Lonchura striata: one gene and its partners. The protein of the gene in region 2 interacts with the protein of the main gene of each other region in a biochemical or structural test. Links are inferred from orthologs where the notes say so. Each region holds a gene or a part of one and is shown on either strand. Other genes may lie near its edges.

Region 1 (7,151 bases), on a different chromosome or scaffold from region 2:
CTGAAGTGGCACAGTCTCTATCCTGCGCAAAGCCAGTCCTGCTGTCCATCATATTTTCTTCCTGCCTGGACAGACTGGCAGATTTCCCAGGTGTTTGATGTTTCTGCCTGCTAGTGATATGGAACTGCAAAAAGAGCGAGAAACAGGACCTCATACAGCAGTTTCCCAAACACGGGGCCAGAGATTTTTTTTCTCCCAGATTTCCATGGCATCCATGCTCCCCTCCAAAAACTATTTCACCAGGGAATGACCAGGAAGAAACCTTCAGGTACTGCAAAACCTGTGGGCAGACTGTCAGATGTCACACAACAGCAGCAACACCCTGGGCACCACCACACCTCCCACCTACCAGCCAGGCATTCATCATGTCTGGAGTACATTTCACCTACTTTGAGCCTGGCAGTGCCTGGCAGTACAAACTTCCCCCATCACCAGCTGCATCTGCACCAGAGGCATTTGGGGAAACTGCCCTCTGGGCCTGTGGGCTCTGGCATGAGGGCAGGGAGCACCAGGCAGAGCCCTCTGCCACGTACACCTGGGCAAAGGGGTGGGTTTGGGTGCTGCTCCTGGGTGTTGGCAGAGCACAGAGGAGCGGCTGCATCCTTGGTGAAGACATTCACAGCACACAGCCAGCTAGGCCATGGGTCCTGCTGGCTTCTGACGGTCCCAACACTTGCCAGCAGAGCCCCCAAGCACGGGGATGGGTGGCAGCACTTAGGGGCTGGGCCAGCACAAACAGGCTGGAGAAGGAGGGCACAGAGAGGGTAAAAGTGCAATGTGACCTGCTGTGAGCAGGATGCATCGAGATGTTCAGGCTAATACAACATGGGCTTCCTAAGTGCTTGGCTAAACACTGAATAAAAGAAATGAGGATGGGGATTATCAGGGAAGAGAAAAAATACTGAGCCAGCAGCCCCAGGCTTAAAATTGTCATACTGGCTCCAAGTACAGATTCACCCCCTCTGCTCATTCCCCACTTGCACAGCTTTGCAAAAGAAGGTGTAAAATATTGTATCCTGGTCAATTGCACAGTAACTGTCCCTGTGGGATGTTTCTTCCTTATCCACCTTAATTAGCAGTAGCTTTGCACCACTTATTAGGACAGCTCTTGTCTTTTCCAGACACCTTTAAAGTCTGATATTCTTTTGCTATTCCCAGAAATGCCTCATCATTTTCAGCACCATCAGTCTCCTGTCCCTGTAACTGCTCTGTGCCAAGTCCTCCAGGCAGTGTAGAAAATGGGTTTCTTCTCAGGGGTTTTCAGCAGGTTGCCTTTCTTCAAACAACCATGAATTCCAGGCAGGTGCCTGGGAGAGCTCTACCTTTTGCAGAGCCATAGTCTTGACAAACCAAGTATTTTCTGGGTTATCTGACACCACATGTTGATCTGTGTTGTCTCCCCATCTGTCCTGACCACTGGGGTTTCATTTTCCTAAGAGTCTGCTGTAGAGTATTTCAAACTGCTCAGTTTATCCACAGGCAGCACAAGGCTGGGATGCCAGCAGCTCTCAACATCCTGCCTTGCCCTTGTGTTATAAATTTCACCATTGCCTGCAGCTGCCTCTGAGCCTGCCATCTGCACCCAACAAAGTCACACAGCAAACACATTACAGTTATAGATTCCATCCAACCTTAATCCTTTCCTCAATGGTGTGGTCCTGTAATCTCACTTGTTTTTCTATAGAAACACCTTCTTTTGACATTTGCTCACAATTTCTCTCTGTGTGTTGTGATGTGCTGTGCTCAACAGCAAAGTCAGGAGCTTACCTGTCCCCTGGGCTGGGGCTTCCCAGCCCCCTGGAACCTGGGTGATACACCCCTTTCAAGCAGATCGAGTCAGAGCTGGCAAGGTGACTTCTACTTGCTTAAGGTTTCCAGCACCACTGCCTTTTTTCTGGAGACTGGGAGGGAGGGAGCCGGGCGTGCTGTCCCAAGCCATGGCAGCCCGCTGTGCGTGGCCTTGGCTCCGGTCACAGCATCCCCGGCACCGCAGGACCAGGAGGCGCTGCCTAAGCGAACTGCGCCTGCTGATGCAGCTCTTTCCACACGGAGTTAGCAGGTGCGTGCTTTGGTTCCCACTCTTACTCACAGCTTTCACTTAGTGCCACCCTCCAGAACACTAAAAAGCAGCCGAGACTCCTCCTACCTGAAGAGAAAGACAGGAACGAAACGCAGATGCTGAGAAGACGAGGGCAGCGTGCCTTGTCCAGAACTGAAGCCACCCGTCATGGGCTCCCTGGGCGCTCCTGGGTGGGCCAGCAGCCCGGAGCAGCGAGAGCAGCGAGCTGTCCGTGCAGACGGCGATCCCCCGAGCCGTCCCCGCCGCCCATCCCCGGTGTGCCGCCGTGCCCGCGGTGCGCGGGGGCAGCGCCGGTCCGTCCTGGGGCCTTAAAGAGGGAGTGGGAGGCTGGAGGCAGCCAACCAGCTGGGAACGACTTCTGAATATGCAGATGGACACCCAGGAGCTGATGTCCGACGCCACCTTCCCTGCTGGCTCCCGCACTCATAGCCCCTGAGCCAGACAGGCAAGGGCTATCGGGCGCCGAGCTGCTGGCTACCCAGGTGGGCAGAGGCCCAGAGCAGCAATTTTCCCCTGGAATCTGGCCGGAAGCCCCATTCAGGATAGTGAAATGTTGGTGAGACATGCAAATACACCAGGCTGACAAGCAGTGCCACAAGCACAAGGAAGGAGCTGGCCCAGATCCCACCAGCTACCCATCTTCCATGGAAAGTGGCCAGGCATTTCCCACATCCCGCACTCTGGGGGCGCAGAGGCAATTTGGCTGTCCTGGAGGTCTGCAGCACAGGACACGGCCAAGAAATGGGACAACACAGGAAAAGCAGCAACACAGAGTCCCTCGCTTGTCGCAGGGTGCTTTACAGAGAGCCCAGCAGAGCTGGCATCACTCCCAGCTGAGCACGTCCTGACCCAGCCCCAGGACAAACCTACCTGCCCCAGCAGCACATGTGGCTGGCAGAAACTTCTCGTGCAGGAGCTGGGGTTGGGTGGGCAAAGTCTAGCCATGCATGCCACTCCTGGGGCTTTATCTGCTTTGCTTCCACATGCTAACTGAGCACAGCAGTGCTTAGTGTATTCACTGTGTAGGCAGGAGGCCGTGGTTAAAGGCAGTTGACATCAGGTGGTCAATATTGTTCAAGGATATTAGCCTTCAAAAGACAGATCATAGAGAAATCCCTGGCAGAGAGCCTTTCTGGCTCAGTTATCATTTATTAGAGCAGTCAGCTCATCCTCAAAGCCTCAGAGACTACCCCCTGTTGATTTTTATTCAACCTCTTTCCTTTGAAAATGATCTCATATTTCGAAGTTTGCAGTCAACCATTCATAAATTATTAAGCAGTGGCTAAATTAAGCACATGTGCATAACCCAGACTTGGCTCCTTGAGAGATACCTGGTGCCAGACAGCCCTTTATAACTATCCCAGGCTGATTCTCAGAATCTGTAAATGGGTTCCTTGGGTTTTCTTCCACCTGTGGTTCCCTGCCTGGGAGCAGGCAGAAAACAGAAGCTAGCTGGGGAATTCTCAAATGTTTTCAACATAGAGAGCACACCTGAGGAACAGGGCTTACTTGTGGACTCATTTTCCTGTTTGCCATGGTGAGATGACCTCATTGCCCGTTTCTAACCTTGTGGCATCCCACTGGGTGATGCTTGTGGCAACACCACCCCACACGAGAACAGTCCCATGGTTTGCCAAGGTGGGCAGGCAAACCACGGGTACGGCTGTCCCGCAGTGACCCAGAGCTGCTTCAAAGAACAGCGTCACAAAACGGCATTCTTCGTAATGCACAGGTTATTTATTACACATATACTATTACATATCGTAACATCGATATATCCATATACGTGGTTATATCAATATATGTAATGCATAGCTATTTCATATGCATGTGATCTATAAGTAATAGTATTTAATATATATCATACAGGACGCATTAACACCTGTATTATTACACACACGGTAACACACAGGAATATCGTGCGCAGAGCCTCGCCCCCGGCCCGGGCCCGGCCCCCGCCCGCCATGGTCCCGCCCCGGCCGCCCCCCCGTCCTGGGGCGGTTGGTCCGGCCCCCCGCGCTTCCGCCGCGCGCCGGGCCTGGTTCCGGTGTCCGCCCTGCGGCCCCTCCCGCCGCCGCCGCCGCCGCCGCGATGGTGCCGCTGTGGCGGTCCCGCTGCCTCGGCCGCGCGCTGGGCCGCTCGCTGCGCGCCCTCCGGCAGGTACGGCCCGCGGGCAGCGGCCGCGGGGAGCGGGCGGCGAGGGAGGGCGGCGGCCGTGCGGGCGAGGTCGGCGGCGCCAAGGGCACCGGGACGCGTCCCCTGCTGCCGGGCGCTCCGCACCGCCGCCCCGGGGCGCGGCAGGGCCGGGCACGGGAAGGGCCGGCGAGGCTGTCCCCCAGCGGGGGCCGCGGTGGCGCGGCGCTGCCCGTTCCCCGCGGGTGCCGCTGCCCCGCGGGCAGGCCCGGCCCCGCGGGAAGGGCGCGGCAGCGGCAGAGCCGGGCGGCGGGAAGGGCTGGCGGGAAGGGCTCGCGAACGGCGCCGCGCTCGGGCTCCGCCGGCCCGCCCGTCAGCGGCATCTGAGGCCTCGCTGCTGGCAGCCACCGGCCTGCGCTGGCAGAGACCCCCGGCCGGGGCGCGCCGCGCGGGACCGGCAACAACCGGCGTGCGGTTTGGTGTTTGAATCCTGTGCTCGGTTTTCAGGGCAGGCGGTGGTAGCCTCTGCTGGCTGCAGCGTGGGCTGACAGCGCCCAGCAGCTGCTTAACCCTGGGGCTGCCCTTGGCCAGCCGGGTCCTGTGTCCTGCTGCTCACACCTTCCATTTCAGCTTCATGTGCACACACATGTTTGTGCATACCTACGGCATGAGAAAGATCACTTCTCTTCCAGTGACCAGCTGGAGCCTTCCAGCATGAGACTTGGTTTTAGACATGCTGTAAATGTAGGCAAGCGTTGACAACCAGTTGTAATGTACCGACACCTTTGTGTGTATACATGTAAAACTGTGTTATGAACAACTTACAAGTAACTGTATAGTTACAGTTTGTTACAGATATATTAGAGAAAAATTGGTTATAATGCAGTTTAAACAAGCCTATTAAAGTGGCATTTTAGCAATATTTAACCTTTGTCAGCTCTCAGTGGTGTTGTGTAATTATAAAGAACGGGAAGAAGTCAGATGGAGTATTCAAACCTTTTACAAAACTAGTCTGAAAATCAGGAGGTTTTAGGCTGAATGCTAGTTAACCTGTTAGATATACTGAAAGAGTTATAGTAGAAGTTTGCTTTCCATTTGAACAGCAATATGGGAAGTAAATTTTTATTATGTAAAACAGGCTTTTTGGAGAGATAGAAAAAAATCCCAGAACTTGGCAAACCTCTGATGGCAGAAGTGAGAATGGTAGACATATACAAAATTCAGAAGTGGAGGATTGAACGGGGGAAGAGTGGAGTCAGTGAGGGTGAGGAAGGGTTGGCTGGGTTTTGGCTGTCTGTAAAAGAAGAAAAGGTTCTGAATTCATATTAAGTAGAAACCAGGAATGTGTATCAATAGCTTGTAGCACATAAGAGTTGGGGCAGGAGCAGGCAGACGTAGAAGGCTATGTGAAAAAGTCCAGAGAAGAGCTGGTCTGGAAAAGATAGATTTGATCAGGAGCTGCGTAAAGTGCTTTGAGAATCAAATCCTTCTGTTTATGGGCAGGAGTTCATAAAGAACTTTTTCTTCCCTGTTTGATCCTCCCCTCATGCTGGAGGAGTTCTGAGCCTGTTGTCTTAGTAACAGCGTCCACCACTCAGCATGATCTCCATCCCATCTTGGCACCTGCCCTCCCATGCTGTATATAATTGTTTTGATGCCCATGAAAGCCATGCAGTGGGGTTTTTGTGTGGAGCAGGAGTTTGTGCTCATCCTTGTTAGAGCAGCAGCTGCTTTGCTCTCAAGAAGCCATGGCTGGAGAACCAATTTCTGCTTTGCCTGTTGTTGGAGCTGCACAGCACTGGCCTTCTGGTTTGCCTCTGTTCACATGAGCTGCACTGTCACGTTCATCAGATTCCTTACCTGAACTGGTCCCTCGCTGTTGGTATACAGGCTGTCGCTTTAGCTGATGTATTCCATCCTTTGTTTCAGTGTGTAGTGACCTACTGGAAGGTGATGGCTCCATAAAGGTGTGGCCTGGGACCATGCATGCCAGGGTCACTTTGACGTAGTAACACTTATAAAAACGATTCTGAGAAGTCATGTGAAACAAGAGGGAAATATTAATCACTTGCTACATGAGTCACTGGCTAATTAGACCAAGATTTCTTTCCCCAAGTGAAGCCTGTCTTTTTAAACTGACCCAAAGTGCCAAAGCCACGTAGCAAAACTTAAATATTTCCATTCTCACTGAAAAAGCTCCAGTAGAAGGCAGAGGGCAGATTTAGCCAAGTGATCCAGGAAGAGGTGCAGTCAGAAAGATTCCTTCAGGGAAAAATGGAACAGGAAGCAGCCCTGTAAGCAGCCCTGTCCTGTGTCTCCTGAAGCTGCATGTTTATCTCAGAGGTACTGTGGTTAAGAGATAGGCACACAGCAGTTCTGCAGGATGTAATTCAGAAAAATCACAGTATCTTTTATTAGTGGCTTCCTCCTCACATTAAGCCCTTCCCCTAATTTCTTAACCTTAAAGGCAAAGGATAGAGTGATACCAATTTTTTCCTTAATTTTGCTACCAGATACCACTGGTGGAAGAGAGCTGCAGATGTATTTTCTCCCAGCAATTTATTTTAGGACAGACCTTCTAAATTTTCTTTTTTGTTTTATCTCCACAGTAAACTGGTCCTGAGCAAATAAAATTGTCTGGTTTTGCATCAGTCTGAGGCTGTTCCTTTCTTAACAATTTATTGTCTGGTGTTCTAGGAATGCCTTTAACCACTTTTTTTAATAAAGCACCCAGGGAAACATTAATGGATAGAGGGGAACTCAGGTTGCTTGATACTCAATTTGTGATTGACTCTATGCTATCTTGGACACTACAGAAAGTGAGAAAAATATGATCAATACAGAGTGCTGAGGATTGTGGTGCTCTAGAGAGCTGACCCAGTGGAGGGCTGACCCACTTAAGTTGGAGTTTGTCTTACTGATCCTGGCTTAGAGCTGG
Region 2 (7,384 bases):
TAGCACCTTACTCATCTAACTCAACACGCACACCTAGGGCTGTATTTAAGCAGAAGAATTGTTTTAATTCAATATGATTTACTAGCCATAATTCCTTCCCTGTGATGCCTTATTTCTTTTTTCAGTTCAAAGGTGAAGGAAGCCATGGAGTGATCCTATTTTTATACAGTTTACTTTTCTCTAGGACACTTGAAAGGTATATTTTGCTTTTTAAACATTTTCCTGTAGTTTGATTGCATCTCCTGAAAAGCCTTTTCCTTTCCTCCCATCTCTCTTGGTCAGGAAGGGAGGTGCAGTGCTGCCTCTGCCACAAGCCCACTGCTGCCCTGATGATCTGTGCTTGGTCACACAGGGTCCAAGAGGATTTGGGTGACACAGCTCCTCTGCTGAACATCAGTTCTGGAAATGTCTCCTGTACAGAGGTAGGATCAGCCACATGTCTTAAGCATTTTTTCCAGTTTTACTAGTCCCATATCTGATTTAGGAAAAAAAATTACTTGTTAATTAATCCAAGCAAAAAGAAGCCTAAGTTCATAAAAAAAAATATTTTGCAATTTTAATCATGGCTGTGCACTTGAAAAACTGATGATGATGATAGTAGCAATAATTTTTAAAATGCCACTGGCAGCCTGGCATTCCCCAAAAGTTGTGCCAGACGTGGCAGAGCTGGGAGCAGGGCACCACGCGCCAGGGCCGTTACTCCGTGTCCCCGGGCTGTGCCCGGGCTGTGTCCCCGCAGGCCGTGCTCAGCCTGCTCCTGACGGGACGGGCGAGCCCGGAGCTCGGCGGCAGCCGGCAGCCGCAGCCCGGCGCCGCGGACGGGGGCGGCGCGGCCCCGTGGCAGCGGGGCCCGGTGGGCTTCCTGCGCTGGGAGCGGGCGCCGGTGGAGCGGCAGGTGAGCGCAGGGGCAGCCCCACGGCCAGCGGGACCCTCGGCACAGCCCGGGCTCCTGGCAAGCGTCCCCCTGGCCAGGTGAGCCCCGGGCTGCGGACGCCCCGGCTGCCCGTGTGGCTGTGCAGCGTCTCGGGCAGGCACAGCGTGCTCTTCGGCACCGACCGCCGGCTGATCTCCGACTGGAAATCCGAGAGAATTTTCCACCTGTACTTCTACACTGGGCAGCAGGAGCAGACCCAAACTGCCCACCTGACGATAGGTACGACCCAGACTTACCAGGGACTGAGGTATGGGCATCTCAGACTATCACAGACAACCCGTTCCTGCGCTAAATACTCAATACAAAGTTTAAACACACCAGGAAGCTGGACTGTTTCATGATTAATTCAAAATTTATAATAATATTCTCTCCAGCTGCTGGGGTGTTACCCCACCCAGCCCTCAAGCCCTGTGCAGCTGCTCACTCACTCCCCACCCGCAGGATCAGGGAGGGAGTTGGAAGGGTAGAAGTTAAAGAACTTGGCTGAGATAGAGACAGGGTAATAAGAAAAGCAAAAGCCACACACAAGCCAAGGAAAATAAGAATGAATTCACTTCCTCCACAGGCAGACAGGTGTTGCAGGGCCCCATCACATACAACAGTGGCTTGGGAAGACAAACACCACACTCAATAGTCCTTTCTCTTCCTTCTCCCCATTTCACATACTGAGCACGAGGTCATACGGTCTGGAATACCCCTTTGATCATTTTGGCTCCTCTGTCCTGGCTGTGTCTTCTCCCAGCCTGCCATGCACCCCCAACTTCCTCACCAGCGCAGCAGTAGGAGGAAGCAAAAAGGCCTTGGCTATGCCCAGCCATAACAAAATCACCTCTGTATAATCAACCCTGTGTTCAGCACAAATCCAAAACACAGCTCCATACCAGACGCTGAGAAGGCAATGAATTCTATCCCAGACAAAGCCTGCACACCAACACATGAGGCTGGCACGCAGCAGGGCCACCTGCCTGTCTGACTGAGGCTGAAGCGTGTCTTCCTGCTCAGCACCAGCTGCCACCATGGCCCTTGTGCTCCTCACCAAGTTTCATATCCTCCCAGGAGGGACAAACTGCTCCTGCAGCAATGCTTTGGTTGTGAACAAGGTTTTGTGCTTGGGGTGCAAGATTCTTGTTTCTCTGCTGCTGTGCAACACCTTCCTCACTGGGTGCCTCCTTCCTTACTCTCCTTTCACTGCAGCATTCAAAGCAAAGTCAGAACCTTGAAACTAAAGGGTAAATCTGCGGGGAAGCAGAGTGATTTGAGATCAACCCTCATGATACCTGGTGCAGCAGCCACAGACACTATCTGAGCATCTGCTCAGAAAAGCAGTATGCAAACACACCGTGCAAGCAGCCCAGAGCTGCACTTAGAGCACCGGAATTTCCCGGGGAAGCCCACGGTGCACGGTGCACGGGCAGTCCCCAGCCCCGGAGGCCCTGCTTACCCTCCCCCCGCTCCCTGGGGCAGAACGGCAGCACATCTACACCAATACAGCTGCAGAAGCTTCTGCTTTTAGCCGTCACTTTTTGAGTGGGGTTGGGTTTAAAGATTTTTTTTTTTAGACATTTATTTTTCATTTCCTCTTCAGACACTCATTCACATCACTGGGAAGAGGCTCAAAGAGAAGGCCCGTGCAGCCCAGGGAAGAGGCGCCCAGCCCTGGAGATGGCAATCAGGACCAAGTGGGCAGGTGCGACCGTCAGCTGGAACGGGACAGATCCCTTCTTCTGAGGAGTGAGCAGGATGGACCCCTGCTCCTGAAGGGTACTAGCATCTCCCACACTACCAACTGCACTGGTCACTGCAGTCTGGAGGACAAAAAGCTCTCTCCCAGGTCAAAAACCCTTTGGTGCATTGAAGGGACACCTGACTATAAGGCATCACACCCACTGCAAAAGTGTGCATTGCAGGAACAGTGACTTGCAACCCTGTCCCACTGCACGCCTTTTCCAGGTGGTAGGATGCAGGTTCTCCTGCTCCCAACAACAGCTGGCAGGGAAAGGAAAGAGTCAAGCCCTGGCACAGCCGCCCATGGCAGTGGTGGAATCTCCATCCCTGGAGGAGCTCAAAAGCTGTGCAGATGTGGGATTTGGGAACATGGTTTAGTGGTGGCCTTGGCAGTGCTGGGGTAATGGTTGGACTAGTTGGGTCTTAGAGGGCTTTTCCAACTCCAGCTGCTCTGGGGCTCTGTAATTCAGTGATTTTACTGCCTTTGCCAAATCCTGGCACCCTGCATTTGCCTGACAAGCATGGGTATGGCACATTGCTTCTAGCTCACAGAAACCACTGTCCACTTCCTTTTTCATTGTCATTACTCCAAAACCACCTGTAAGTCACACCCTTAATGTATTGCTAAAGTCAAATGAGAACAGTAAACCTTCCGCAAGCGATCCAGAAACTTGGTTCAGGTTTATTGAATTTTATAAAAAATAAAAAGAAGCCACGACACCCAGCCAGAGATTATGCTGGGCTGGGATGAGGAGATGCTGGTTACAGCTGGTGTGAGGTCTGCGACCCCACTGTGGAACCGCAGCTCAGCCCCAGCGCTGCAGTGCCCGGGCACCCACAGCTCCCGCGGCACCGGGAGAGGGGCCCAGGGCTGCGGGGGATGCACGGTCCCGCCGAGGGGCATGGTCCTGGTAAAGGGATACACTCCCGGTGAGGGGGCATGGTCCTGGTGAGGGGCTGGCAGGACACGGTCCCGCTGAGGGGACACGGTCCCTGTGAGGGGACACGGTCCCGCTGAGGGGACACGGTCCCGGTGGAGCGGCACTGTCCCGGTGAAGGAAGGGACACGGTCCCGGTGAGGGGACACGGTCCCGGTGAAGGGACACGGTCCCGGTGAAGGAAGGGACACGGTCCCGCTGAGGGGACACGGTCCCGGTGGAGCGGCACTGTCCCGGTGAAGGAAGGGACACGGTCCCGGTGAAGGGACACGGTCCCGGTGAAGGAAGGGACACGGTCCCGGTGAAGGGACACGGTCCCGCTGAGGGGACACGGTCCCGGTGAAGGAAGGGACACGGTCCCGGTGAAGGAAGGGACACGGTCCCGGTGAAGGGACACGGTCCCGGTGAAGGAAGGGACACGGTCCCGCTGAGGGGACACGGTCCCGGTGAAGGGACACGGTCCCGGTGAAGGAAGGGACACGGTCCCGCTGAGGGGACACGGTCCCGGTGAAGGAAGGGACACGGTCCCGGTGAAGGGACACGGTCCCGGTGAAGGAAGGGACACGGTCCCGCTGAGGGGACACGGTCCCGGTGAAGGAAGGGACACGGTCCCGCTGAGGGGACACACTCCCGCGCAGCGCGGGCGGGCCCGCGCGGGGCACGCCGGGAGCGGGGCGGGTGCCGCGCGCAGCCGCCGCTCGCCCCGCACCGCCCCGTCCATCCTCATCCTCCTCCTCCTCCTCCTCCTCCTCATCCTCCGCCTCCGCCCGCCTCCCAGCGCGGCCCGATGGTGGCGGTGGCGGCGAGGCGCGATGAGCCGCCCGTCCTCCGCCGGCCCCGGCCCTAGCAAGCCTTGCGGGAAGCAGCAGCAGCACGCCCCGTCCCCCGCCGCCGTCCTGCCGGGGACCGGCGGCGCTTCTCCGCCGCCTCCCCCTCCTCCTCCTCTTCCTCCCCCCCAGCAGCAGCAGCAGCAGCAGCAGGAGCTGACCTCGCTCTTCGAGTGCCCCATCTGCTTCGACTATATCCTGCCGCCCATCCTGCAGTGCCAGGCCGGGCACCTGGTGTGCAAGCAATGCCGGCAGCAGCTGAGCCTCTGTCCCACCTGCCGTGGCTCCCTCACCCCCAACATCAGGAACCTGGCCATGGAGAAGGTGGCCTCGGCCGTCCTCTTCCCGTGCAAGGTAAGGATGAGCGGCTGGGCAGGGGGACGGGAGGGCCACCCAGACCAGCCCCGATCCCTGTGCCCCTGCGGAAAACCCCCAGCCATCATCCCCATCCCTGTACTCCTGCAAAAAAAAACCCATCCCTGTACCTCTGCAGAAAACCCCCAGCCATCACCCCCACATCCATATCCCCAGACCACCCCCCTATATCCTCCTACAGAGGACACCCACCCACCATCCCAGTTGTTGAAACTAGAATCCTCTGTTCTTTTTAAAGAAAAGGAATATCCAAGCCAGGACCTCTCCAGCTGATCTGGACGGATCAGATCTAACTACTACAGCAGATCTAACAGCAACGCAGCCATACAACCCATTTTATCTAAGTGCTTGCATTAGGAAAAAACAACCTCAAAAGATGAGAAGAATCCATTTTAAGTGGAAACAAAAACTAAGTAAAGCTCAGCTTGAAGCCAGGGCTCCATACAATGTAAAGTTTGCAATGAGAATGAGAGCTCTGGTTGATCACCTGTGTTTCCAGTTGACGGGTGGGAGCAGCACATACTAGGGCTGATGCCTTTCCTGACAGCTTGTGTTTGGTCTCTTTCCAGTATGCCACAACAGGCTGCTCCCTGACCCTCCACCACACAGAAAAGCCAAAACATGAAGCCATCTGTGAGTACCGTCCCTACTCCTGCCCGTGCCCTGGTACCTCCTGTGACTGGGAGGGGTCCTTGGAAGCCGTGATGTCCCACCTCATGCATGCCCACAAAAGCATTACCACCCTTCAGGGAGAAGACATCATTTTCCTTGCCACAGACATTAACCTGCCAGGGGCAGTGGACTGGGTGATGATGCAGTCGTGCTTTGGTCACCACTTCATGCTGGTGCTGAAGAAACAGGAGAAGTGTGAAGGTCACCAGCAGTTTTTTGCCACCGTGCTGCTCATTGGCACCCGTAAGCAGGCAGAGAACTTTCAGTACAGACTGGAGCTGCACAGCAGCTGCCACCGACTGACCTGGGAGGCATCTCCCTGCTCCATCCACGACGGCGTGTCCATGGCCATCCGCAACAGCAACTGCCTCATTTTTGATACAGCTACTGCACACCTTTTTGCTGACAACGGAAACCTCGGCATCAACGTGACAATTTCCATGTGTTGCCCGTGATGCATTGCTAGCGAGACTCGAGCTGTCTGGATGTAGTGCTTCACTGGGTTTTGGTTTTGGTTCCCATTTTTTATGCTATTCAACTATGTCATCTTGTATGCTAAGGTTTCTGACTAGCCAACAACTGTAATTCTGGGCAGAAGAGGAACAACAGTATGCTGTAAGTAATGTGAGCAGGACAAGGTCTTTTAAAATTCTTGGGTGCCTTAGGAAGACTACACACAAGATTACACACCTTTTGTAATTTAATTATATTTTATGTAAAGAGTGCTTCCATTGGATATATGGCTTAAGAGGCTCCTGTTTGGAGCACACCTAAAAAGCCCTTTCATCAGCAGTACAGATTCTGTCTGATGCTGGTGAGCTTTAATAAAAGGCTTTAGTATCACAAGAGGGTTTGGTTTAGAAGAGACTATCATCTGTTCCAATCCTCCTGCCATGGCAGGGAGACCTTCCACTATCCCAGGCTGCTCCAGCCCCAGTGTCCAGCCTGGCCTTGGGCAGTGCCAGGGATCCAGGGGCAGCCACAGCTGCTCTGGGCACTTACACCAGGGCCTGCCCACCTTCCCAGGGAACAATTCCTGCCCAATATTCCATCTCACCCTATCCACTGGCAGTGGGAAGCCAGCCCCCCTTGTCCTGTCACTCCAGGCCCCTGTCCAAAGTCCCTCTCCAGCTCTCTTGTAGCACCATTAGGCCCTGGAAGGGACTCTAAGTTCTCATGATTTGCCCTTAGTGAAGCCATGTTGACTATCACCAATCACCTCCTTATTTTCCATGTGCCTTAGCATAGTTTCCAGGAGGATCTGCTCCAAACTCTTTCCAGGCACTGATGTGAGACCTGACAACCTGTAGTTCTCTGGATCTTCCTTTTTCCTCTTTCTAAAAAAAGACGGTTATGTTTCCCCTTTCGGAGTCAGTGGGAACTCCTCTGGATTCCAGAACTTCTCAAATGTGATGGATGATAGTGGCCAAGCCGCTTCCTCCACCAGTCCCTCTGAACCCACGGGTGCATTTTGTCAGGTCCCATGGACTTGTGCACCTTCAGGTCCCTTCGACCTCCTCGACCCCAGTCCTCTCCTGCTGCAGGCAGTTCTTTGCTCCCCCACTCTCTGCCTCTGCCTCCTGCAATTTGGGCAGAGTGGCTGGAGCAGTTTGCCACGAAGGCTGAGTCAGAAACGTGGCTGAGTACCTCAGCCCTCTCCAAGTCCCAGGGAACTGGTGTTCCCGTTTCCTTCCATAGAGGGTCCACATTGTCCCAGGTCTTCCTTTTATCACCAGTGTACCTATAGAGGTTGCTTTGCTTGTTGCCCTTGATGCCCCTGGCCAGATTTAAGTCTTTCAGGCTCTAGCAATCCTAACCTGACCCCTGGCTGCTCACAATCTTCCCTGGCTGCCTGTCCTGTCCTAGTAGGTGAAAAAGGAAGAAAATCCAAGTAACCTTTCACTGGAGCTGTG
Region 3 (8,016 bases), on a different chromosome or scaffold from region 2:
TCCCAGCTCTCTCAGCCTGTCTTCATAAGAGAGGTCCAGCCCAGATCTGGACCCAGCACTCCTTGTGGGGTCTCACCAGGGCAGAGCTGAGAGGCAGAGTCACCACCTCAGCCAGACACCTGGTCTTCCTTCTTGTTCATCAGATTGTTCACTCATGCCCAAAGGGGTCAGTCCCAATGGTTCCCATCCTTCCAGCGCATCTCACTTGTGGTAGATAGGGACAGGCGAATGGAAGATTTCGGGATGTGACAGAAAGCAAGACCCTTCCTCCTCATCCTGTGATATGTAATCCATTACCCCCAAGACACGTAACCCCACCTAACCCAGTAGTTTTCCACTCCTTACTAATCCTAGAGATCCTACCTTCTTCCTTTGATGTAGCAAAGCCCCCTTGACTATTTAACCTCACGAGATAAGGTAATAAACGCCATTTGACCATCCACCACATTGGTGTCTGGGTATGTCTGTGGTCCGAGTGGCCCGGGCGAGGCTGGGCTGCCGTGCTGTCCCTTGAAACCAGGTCGCCTTACCTTCTCATCTGAAGGCAACACTCACTGGACCTAAGATAACTTCCCAAATGACTCTTTTTTTTTTTTTTCTTTTCTCAAAATTGCTTTTCTGCCACCTTAGAAAAGGAAAACAGCCATCAAGGAGTCCAAAGTGTGCCAAAGCAAGTGCAAAGAGAGGTGCTGAATGAGTTGTTAGCTCAACTCAAGCCATGACAGACACCTTTGCCCTCATTCCTGATCTCATTGTGGCATAATATTAAAGGTGCTGACAAAGGAGCTCTGACAAGTCTTGTGGCTGCATTTGGAGGACACATCACACCAAAACACAGCTGTTCTGCCAGGAGTTGATTCCAGCACAGCAGGCAAAGGAATGGTACAGCTGGTGATGCCTCAGCTATTTCTGTGTAAAACTAAGCCTCCAGTGAAGATGGATGTAAGGCTCTGGACTTTGCACTTTTGAAGGGACTGAGGCAGAAACACATTCTCTTCTGCCAGTGCTGCGGAGGAGAGGTTGAAACCTGCAGCAGAGGGATGAGAAGGACAGGTGGGGTTAGTGACCTCTTAGGAAGCCATGGCAAGGTGTGGTAGCACTGGTGTGTCATCCCTGTACAAACACTACCTGCTCCTTGGCCAGAGGGGTTATATAACCACACCAACGTTGTCAGAAAAGTACCTTCTGTAGGCAGAACTTCAGTTATTTTCTCACTAGATCATGAGACATTGGCTCTACAAATTATGCTATGAGGTATTAAGAATACTGTTTTACAGTTTCTCACTGATATAAAGAATTCTCTTCACTTGCTCTTGCTGGGGCTTTTGCAGTTCAGCCCTTGGCACTGAAGAAGTCTGGCTTTCCAGCAGAAAAGTCTGAAAACAAGACTCAAAATGTTTAAAACTCCCTGCTCTAAAAAAGTGTGAAGCATTTCATCTGTAAATTCTCTTGTCAAAAAAATAGCATTAGTGTATAACTAATATCCAGGCTTGACTGACACCAATTATTCTAATCCTCTAAAACAAATCTCCTTAAAATCATTCTGCCAGCTTGCTAATGTCCTGTTTTAGTCTACTGAACTCTAATGTGTGCTATGCTGGCAGTGCAAGCAACAGATATGCAGGACTCAGAAGTTAGAAGTTTTCAAAATTAGATTAAATGGAAAATAAGAAAACACAGAATTAATTTTAGAAGTGAAAAAAATATACACTGTAAGGATAAACAGAGCTTTACATGGCAGAGGGATTGCCCATATATAATTGAATGATGTAGGATTTTTAATTAAAGTGTGGTGACACCTTTCATGCCTGAGATGCACAGCACTGTAAACAAACTTTATGCATGTCCAAAAGAACAGATGATGTGAATTGCCTGATTTCACACCCTCAGTCCTTTGTTTATGCCCTGTGCAACACTTAGATTGTACATGCTCTGTGATAGCTTTGTTTGGAGAGCAGTGGAGTGGTCACAAGAAGTGCTATGGGAGGTACAATGTCTGGTCCTGTTCCAGCTCTTTTATTCTTCTGGGTGGTTCTAACACGCTGTAGTATACACTGAGGACTGCTTTTCCTTTTATTGTCAAATTAATGTCTTAGCTTGGGAATTACTACAGTTGCAGCCTAGCATCTCTCAACTCAGCTTTGCTACCCCTAAGGAGAATGAGAGAGCTCTTGAAGAGTGTCTGTGGGCTAGGCAGAAATTTGTGCTTTCTTGGTGATGATCAAGCTGTGTGATAGAGCCTGTGACTGCTCAGGTTACAAACTATAATGAAGGAATGAAAACTGTTCCCGAGCGCACTCTGCATGCATGGAGAAGTTCTAACCTAAGCAATCACAAACTCTATCACACACCTTCATTATCATCCTCATCAAGGGACAAAGAGATGAAGTAAAATAGAACCAATTAATAAATAGAATCAGTACTCTTGTTCCTCCTGATGTTTTATCTTCATATGGAACAGTAATGCATCTGACTGCTATTTAAAATGCTAGTATGAAAAGCACATCATGCTTCAAGTGACAAAACACTTTGTCCACCAGAAAACCTGATTTGCCAGCAAATGGCAGTGAATGCCCACCTGAGGAAGACATGACATCAATGCTGGAGGAACAAATGTATTTACAACTCTGTGAACATCACTCTGCAGCTGGGGCTGTGGACTCAGTTTTCTAAGACAAATCTCTAACTCCCTAAGGTGACTTTTTCTGATGGAGATCTGGCATCAGTCTAACTCGTAATTTCAAACTTTCAAAAAAAGAGAAATAATGCTGTAAAGACCAACTTCAGCTATTGCCAGAAGGCATCCCTCTTAGTCCTTGACTTGTTCAAGTGGCATCATTACACTTGATAGAAAGGCTGGAAGTTCAGCATCTACAAGTACTTGATTCTGGTACAGGACTGTATATTTGCATGTGTGTGTAAACAAGAAAAGGGGGAAAATCAAAGGGTTTTATTTTATATAATAAAAATGTGTAAACAGTACAATAATGCATCAACAATATTTCCTAATGTATGCAAATTTCATAACGTTGATACTTTGCAGTTGAACTAATCTTACATCCCTTGCCTGATTATGACAACTGCTCTTAACCTATCATACATTACTGATTTTTCAGATAAGCATTAAGGGATTAATAAGATTCATAATTGTATCTTATTAATTATAACCCCACTTTAATGTGAAGTGTGTATCTAAATCAAATAAGGTCCTTTGATAGTTCATATCTCACCAGATATGAATTTATCTGATATAATGTTGCTGGTCTCTCGACAGAGCTGTCAGGGAATAACTTTAGAGGATTAGACCTGTGCTTAGTGCTGTGCACTGAGGGGTAGATACCACTGGATTCAAGGAGAACAAACGTGGAATACGTGACCCGCTCCTGCGTATGCCGGGGCTTGGAGTTGCAGCTCGAGCAGCATCAGCAGCATGGACTGCTGGTAATCCCGTCAGCATTCGCGACGTGAAGGGGAAAAAAAGAACCAGCACCTATTTTGCCTTTTTTGGGGGTGAAATGTGCCGGTTCCCAGCCGGAGCCGTGTCAGTCCCGTGCCGTGCCGTGCCGTGCCGTGCCGTGCCGCTGTGCCGGGCGCTGCGCGGGCTCCGTGGGGCGCATCCGCCACGGGCAGGCACATCCACGGGCCGCGCCCTGCGGGCTCCCGGCCGGAGCTCAGCCCGTGGGGGTGCGGAGGGGTGCGCGTGTGGGCGCGGAGCCCGCGGGGCCGCCGGGGCCAGCGCCGGGGCCAGCGCCGGGGCCGCCGGGGCCAGCGCCGGGGCCAGCGCCGGGGCCAGCGCCGGGGCCAGCGCCGGGGCCAGCGCCGGGGCCAGCGCCGGGGCCAGCGCCGGGGCCAGCGCCGGGGCCGCCGGGGCCAGCGCCGGGGCCGCCGAGCAGGACGGACGCGCTCGGCACACGGACGGCCGCGGGTCTCTGTGGCATCGGGAACTTCACAGGCACCGACCCGGGCACGGCCGCCCTATCCCGCCCGGCTTGGCCGCAGGGAGCGCCTCTCCGCAACGTGACTTTGCTTTGGTTTTGGCTTCTGTAGAGGTTTCTCTCGTTTGTTTAGCAAATCCCGGGCGTGTGCGAACGGAGCTGAGCGGAGGTCTGCTGCTCGCCTCTCAGGAGGCATTTTACGCGAAAGCGTGCTGCTGTCGAGCAGACCCAACAGCGGCCGCGGGACCGTACTCCGTGGCCGGCCGCTGCAGGGACAGTGTTACCGGCAAGGGGCACGCGGGGGAAAGGCGAGTTTTGGTTTAGAACGAATTTTGTCACGGTTTGACCGCAGCTGTCCTCTCGCGGCACGAAGCCGCCGACGGTCCGGGAGGTGTTGCCTGCTACCGGAGCCAAGCAACCTGGCGGGCCCTTGGGGATAAATAATTCAAGGGAAAGTACTGTTTTGCTATGTAAACCTTTTGTAAAAGGTGCGTTCTTCGGCCAGAAAAACTGTGTCTGCCGCGTAATGCAACAGTTCCGTCTGGCGCTGAAACTGCCGCCGCGGTAGGCGGAGGTAAGGCGGCCGGAGAGCCCCGGCGGGGCATTGGCAGAGTTCACCCGGACCGTTCCAAGAGCTCCGAGCGGCGGAGCAGGGCGAGGCGCGGGGGTCGCAGCCGACATGCCAGGCGAGAATTCCTCAATGGCGCTGCCCACGCCCACTCCGGGGGCGCGCGGGACGGCGGGCCGCGCCCCCCGCGCACGTGCGGGAGCCCTCGCCGCGCGCTCCCCGCGGGCCGGCCCCGCCCCGCGCCGCGCGATTGGCCGCCCGGGCCGCCGCGGGCGGGAGCGGGCGGGGCGATCGCGCCGGGCGGCCCCGCCCACGTGCGGCGGCGCGAGCACACATCCCGCACGTAGCCGGCGCGTTAATCAGCGCGGGGCCATCTGCCGCCCTCCTCGCCGCGGGCGGGGGCTGCCCGCGCCCTTCCCGCACGCCCCGGGCGCTCCCGCGCACTGCTGGGGCGCCAGCGGCAGGAGCGCCAGCGCGGGGCTTCGGCAGCACCGCCGCTCCCGCAGCGCCGGGCCGCGGTGCGTAGCCGAGCCTGCAGCGGCCAAAGTTTTACCTCGCCTCGCCTGGCCTCGCGCCGCGGCGGAGCCCCTGCCCGGCTCGGTCTGGAGCGGACGGCGGCCCCACGGGCATCGCCTCCCAGCGCGGGCGCCGGCAGAGCAGCGGCGCGCCCGTCCCCGCCGCGCCATGCCGCTGGGACACATCATGAGGCTGGACCTGGAGAGAATCGCCCTGGAGTACGTCGTGCCCTGCTTGCACGACATCGGCTTCTGCTACCTGGACAACTTCTTGGGGGAGGTGGTGGGGGACTGCGTGCTGGAGCGGGTGAAGCGGATGCACCGCGACGGGGAACTGGCCGACGGGCAGCTAGCCGGCCCCAGCCGCGGCGTCGCCAAGCGGCATCTCCGCGGAGACCAGATAAAGTGGATCGGAGGCACGGAGGAGGGCTGCGAGGCCATCAACTTTCTCCTCACTCTGATAGACCGGCTGGTGATGTACTGCGGGAGCCGGCTCGGCAAGTACTACGTGAAAGAGCGATCCAAGGTAAGGGTCCGCGGAGCCCCGACCTCCCGTCCGCCCGCCGGCACGGGCTCCCAGCCGGCCCGACCCGCCTCGCAGCTGCCGGCGGGACCCGCCCCAAACTTTCCACGGGCACTCGTCCGTGGCGCGTCGGCGCTATCGGCGGGTGCCCGTGGCTCGGGCAGTCCCGCGGGGCTGTCCCGCAGCACCGCCCGGGTGGCGGAGGCGCGGTGCGCTGCCCGAGGGACTCCCGTGACGGCAGCCGCTCTCCAGCCCTTGCCGCCGGGTGCGGGGTCCCGCGGAAAGCGGGGCCGCTCCCTGCGGGTCCCTCGCCCCGCCGGTGCCAGCAGCGCTCCGGGGCGGCTCCTCGCAGCTCCCCTTGTTGGGTTTTCTCCGGGCTTTACCGCTGCCGGACCCCATCCAGTCCCTTGCCTTTTCACCTGTGTGACACCGGCCATCCCTTCGCAGCCGTCCCGGGGGCTCCTTGCTTCTCGCAGTGGGGCTGGAGCCGACTGCACCCCGGTTCTCCTTGCGCTCACCCCAGGTGCGGACAGGGGCGTACCCCACCAAAAACGTCTAACCTTGGCTATTTCGGGGGGGAGCAAGGTCTCCACACTCTCCCTGGGAACGTAGCCAGCTCTGATCCGATTGTTAAGATGTTTTCGCCCATGTATTATCCTGCATAGTTTCGCGGTTCCGACTCTTGTCGCCGTTCTACAGCTGAAGAGGTTATCGTTACCGCATTGAGTATGGCCAGAATACGGGATGTTTAGTAGTTTGAGCGCAGCAAACTTTTGTTTTAAAGAGACAAATTGCTTTTTCTAGGCTTTCTCAGAAATGAAGGGGACACTTGTATTATTAGTTTCTTTCCCAATGAAGTTTATTTGCACTTGCAATGCCATTAGTGTGGAGTTAACTCGTCTTTTCTTTCCTTGTCTGTTTTGCTACGGCAAAGTGTACTAACTTGGAACTAAGTTTACTTTGTTGTCCTGAATACTGAAAACATCCTTATTTCTTTATTTCTGACTTGACACAGTACATTTTCAAAAGGTCCGCTGCTGTTAGAGATATGCCAGAAACAAAAACAATGAAAGTTTTAAAAAATTACAATAGGGAGAAGCTAGGCATTTCTCTTGATCCTAACTTGCACTGACTAAGGGCGTGTGTGAGTGGTATTGTGATTCCCCCCTGAAAAATGATGAAAAAGGTACAGTGATATTTACCAGTTGCTTGGGAACACACTGAAACCTTTGCATGCATCCCCATGCATTTACACACGGTAGTGGGAATAGTAAAAGTTGAAACATTGTTCCTTATGCTTAGCTCTTTAGAATTAGTGATCATCAATTCAGTTAAAGCTTGGGTAGGTATGTTTTAAAAATGTGGGTAGTTTGGATTTTACTTATTCCTGTTGAGAGCCTTGTATTAGGAGGCATAAATAACCATCCTGCCTTGGCACATCTTTAAGGTCATCCTTATCCTTTCTCCGGGTGATTTCTGTTTACTACTGAAAGTGCATTTCTGGCTAAGGGTGTGTGCGCAGGGGTGGATATTGAGGGGCGTTATTTAAAAGCTGGATTGGTGTGAAAGGAGGCTGTCCAGACTTTTTACGAGGTATTTAGAAAACAAATCATCTGGATGAATGAAGGCTGTTGGTGCTGGCTGGGAAGAAGGGTCTTTTGGGCAGTGGTTTTGGGTTGTAGAGATGGTTTTAAAACAGCGTTTTGGTGTTTTTGAAGGCATTCTTGTACAAATAGTAATAAAAAATAGAACATAACTTGTTTTATAAATAGGTAGCAAGATATTTACTATGAAGAGAGACCTCTGGCTCTTGTGACTTAATGTGAAATTTGTCAGAATCCAAACAGCACATGGAAGTGCTGCACAAGAGTCCAGGACTGAAAGGGACTCAATATCTCACTATTGTTTGCAAAACCAAATGCAGAGAAATTTTCATCAGTATAGTAACCAATCCCCTTGTTATAATAATAAATACCATGGGTATGTGAGGCCCTGGAATAGCAGCTGCTGTCTGTAACTGAGACATGGGATGCCTTCAGCAGAAAGATTATTCCTGTGACTAACAACTGATTACTACAGTGCATGCAGGTTCCCATATTGGTTTAAGACATCTCTCTTCTACCATTAAACCTTCCCATTCTGCTTATCATCTGAAGTCTTATTAATGCATACACACAAATCCCAAATTTAAATTCAGCAAATTTTTATTTTATCTGGTGGATTATGTATGTAAATGAATGCCCACAAAACTTTCACAGCTTAAGATTTGTGGATATGTGGGGTGTTCATGGGTGACTGGACCAGAGCTGCTTTGTGGGACATGTGCTGTTGTAATTTATTGTTTTGGCATATAGATATTACTCAGAACTAAGAGCTCAGAACAATTTGTTTAAAATGTAAGCCTTTAGGTACATGTTAACTAAATTTGTCATGAAAATGTACTTATGTCATATCAGCCCATCATTATTTAAAGGT

The links. The genes of interacting proteins can lie anywhere in the genome.
Region 1: the proteins of SIAH2 (region 2) and DLST form a complex in vitro, tested with the Homo sapiens proteins (2 studies listed by BioGRID, with this or other methods). The link is inferred for Lonchura striata from reciprocal best matches to the Homo sapiens genes SIAH2 and DLST.
Region 3: the proteins of SIAH2 (region 2) and EGLN3 form a complex in vitro, tested with the Homo sapiens proteins (2 studies listed by BioGRID). The link is inferred for Lonchura striata from reciprocal best matches to the Homo sapiens genes SIAH2 and EGLN3.

Annotation. Positions count from the first base shown.
Region 1 is NC_134608.1:23,259,675-23,266,825, reverse strand, and holds the start of DLST (dihydrolipoyllysine-residue succinyltransferase component of 2-oxoglutarate dehydrogenase complex, mitochondrial), read left to right. Parts: upstream 1-4,137; 5' UTR 4,138-4,171; coding exon 4,172-4,240; intron 4,241-7,151. Other genes in the region: PROX2 (prospero homeobox protein 2), read right to left, coding at 1-280, 3,981-4,046. UniProt on the Homo sapiens protein: Dihydrolipoamide succinyltransferase (E2) component of the 2-oxoglutarate dehydrogenase complex. The 2-oxoglutarate dehydrogenase complex catalyzes the overall conversion of 2-oxoglutarate to succinyl-CoA and CO(2).
Region 2 is NC_134612.1:26,840,047-26,847,430, forward strand, and holds the start of SIAH2 (E3 ubiquitin-protein ligase SIAH2), read left to right. Parts: upstream 1-4,378; 5' UTR 4,379-4,409; coding exon 4,410-4,778; intron 4,779-5,368; coding exon 5,369-5,926; 3' UTR 5,927-7,384. Other genes in the region: MINDY4B (inactive ubiquitin carboxyl-terminal hydrolase MINDY-4B), read left to right, coding at 126-196, 353-422, 740-895, 973-1,153, 2,520-2,662. UniProt on the Homo sapiens protein: E3 ubiquitin-protein ligase that mediates ubiquitination and subsequent proteasomal degradation of target proteins.
Region 3 is NC_134608.1:25,775,624-25,783,639, forward strand, and holds the start of EGLN3 (prolyl hydroxylase EGLN3), read left to right. Parts: upstream 1-5,002; 5' UTR 5,003-5,187; coding exon 5,188-5,544; intron 5,545-8,016. UniProt on the Homo sapiens protein: Prolyl hydroxylase that mediates hydroxylation of proline residues in target proteins, such as PKM, TELO2, ATF4 and HIF1A. Target proteins are preferentially recognized via a LXXLAP motif.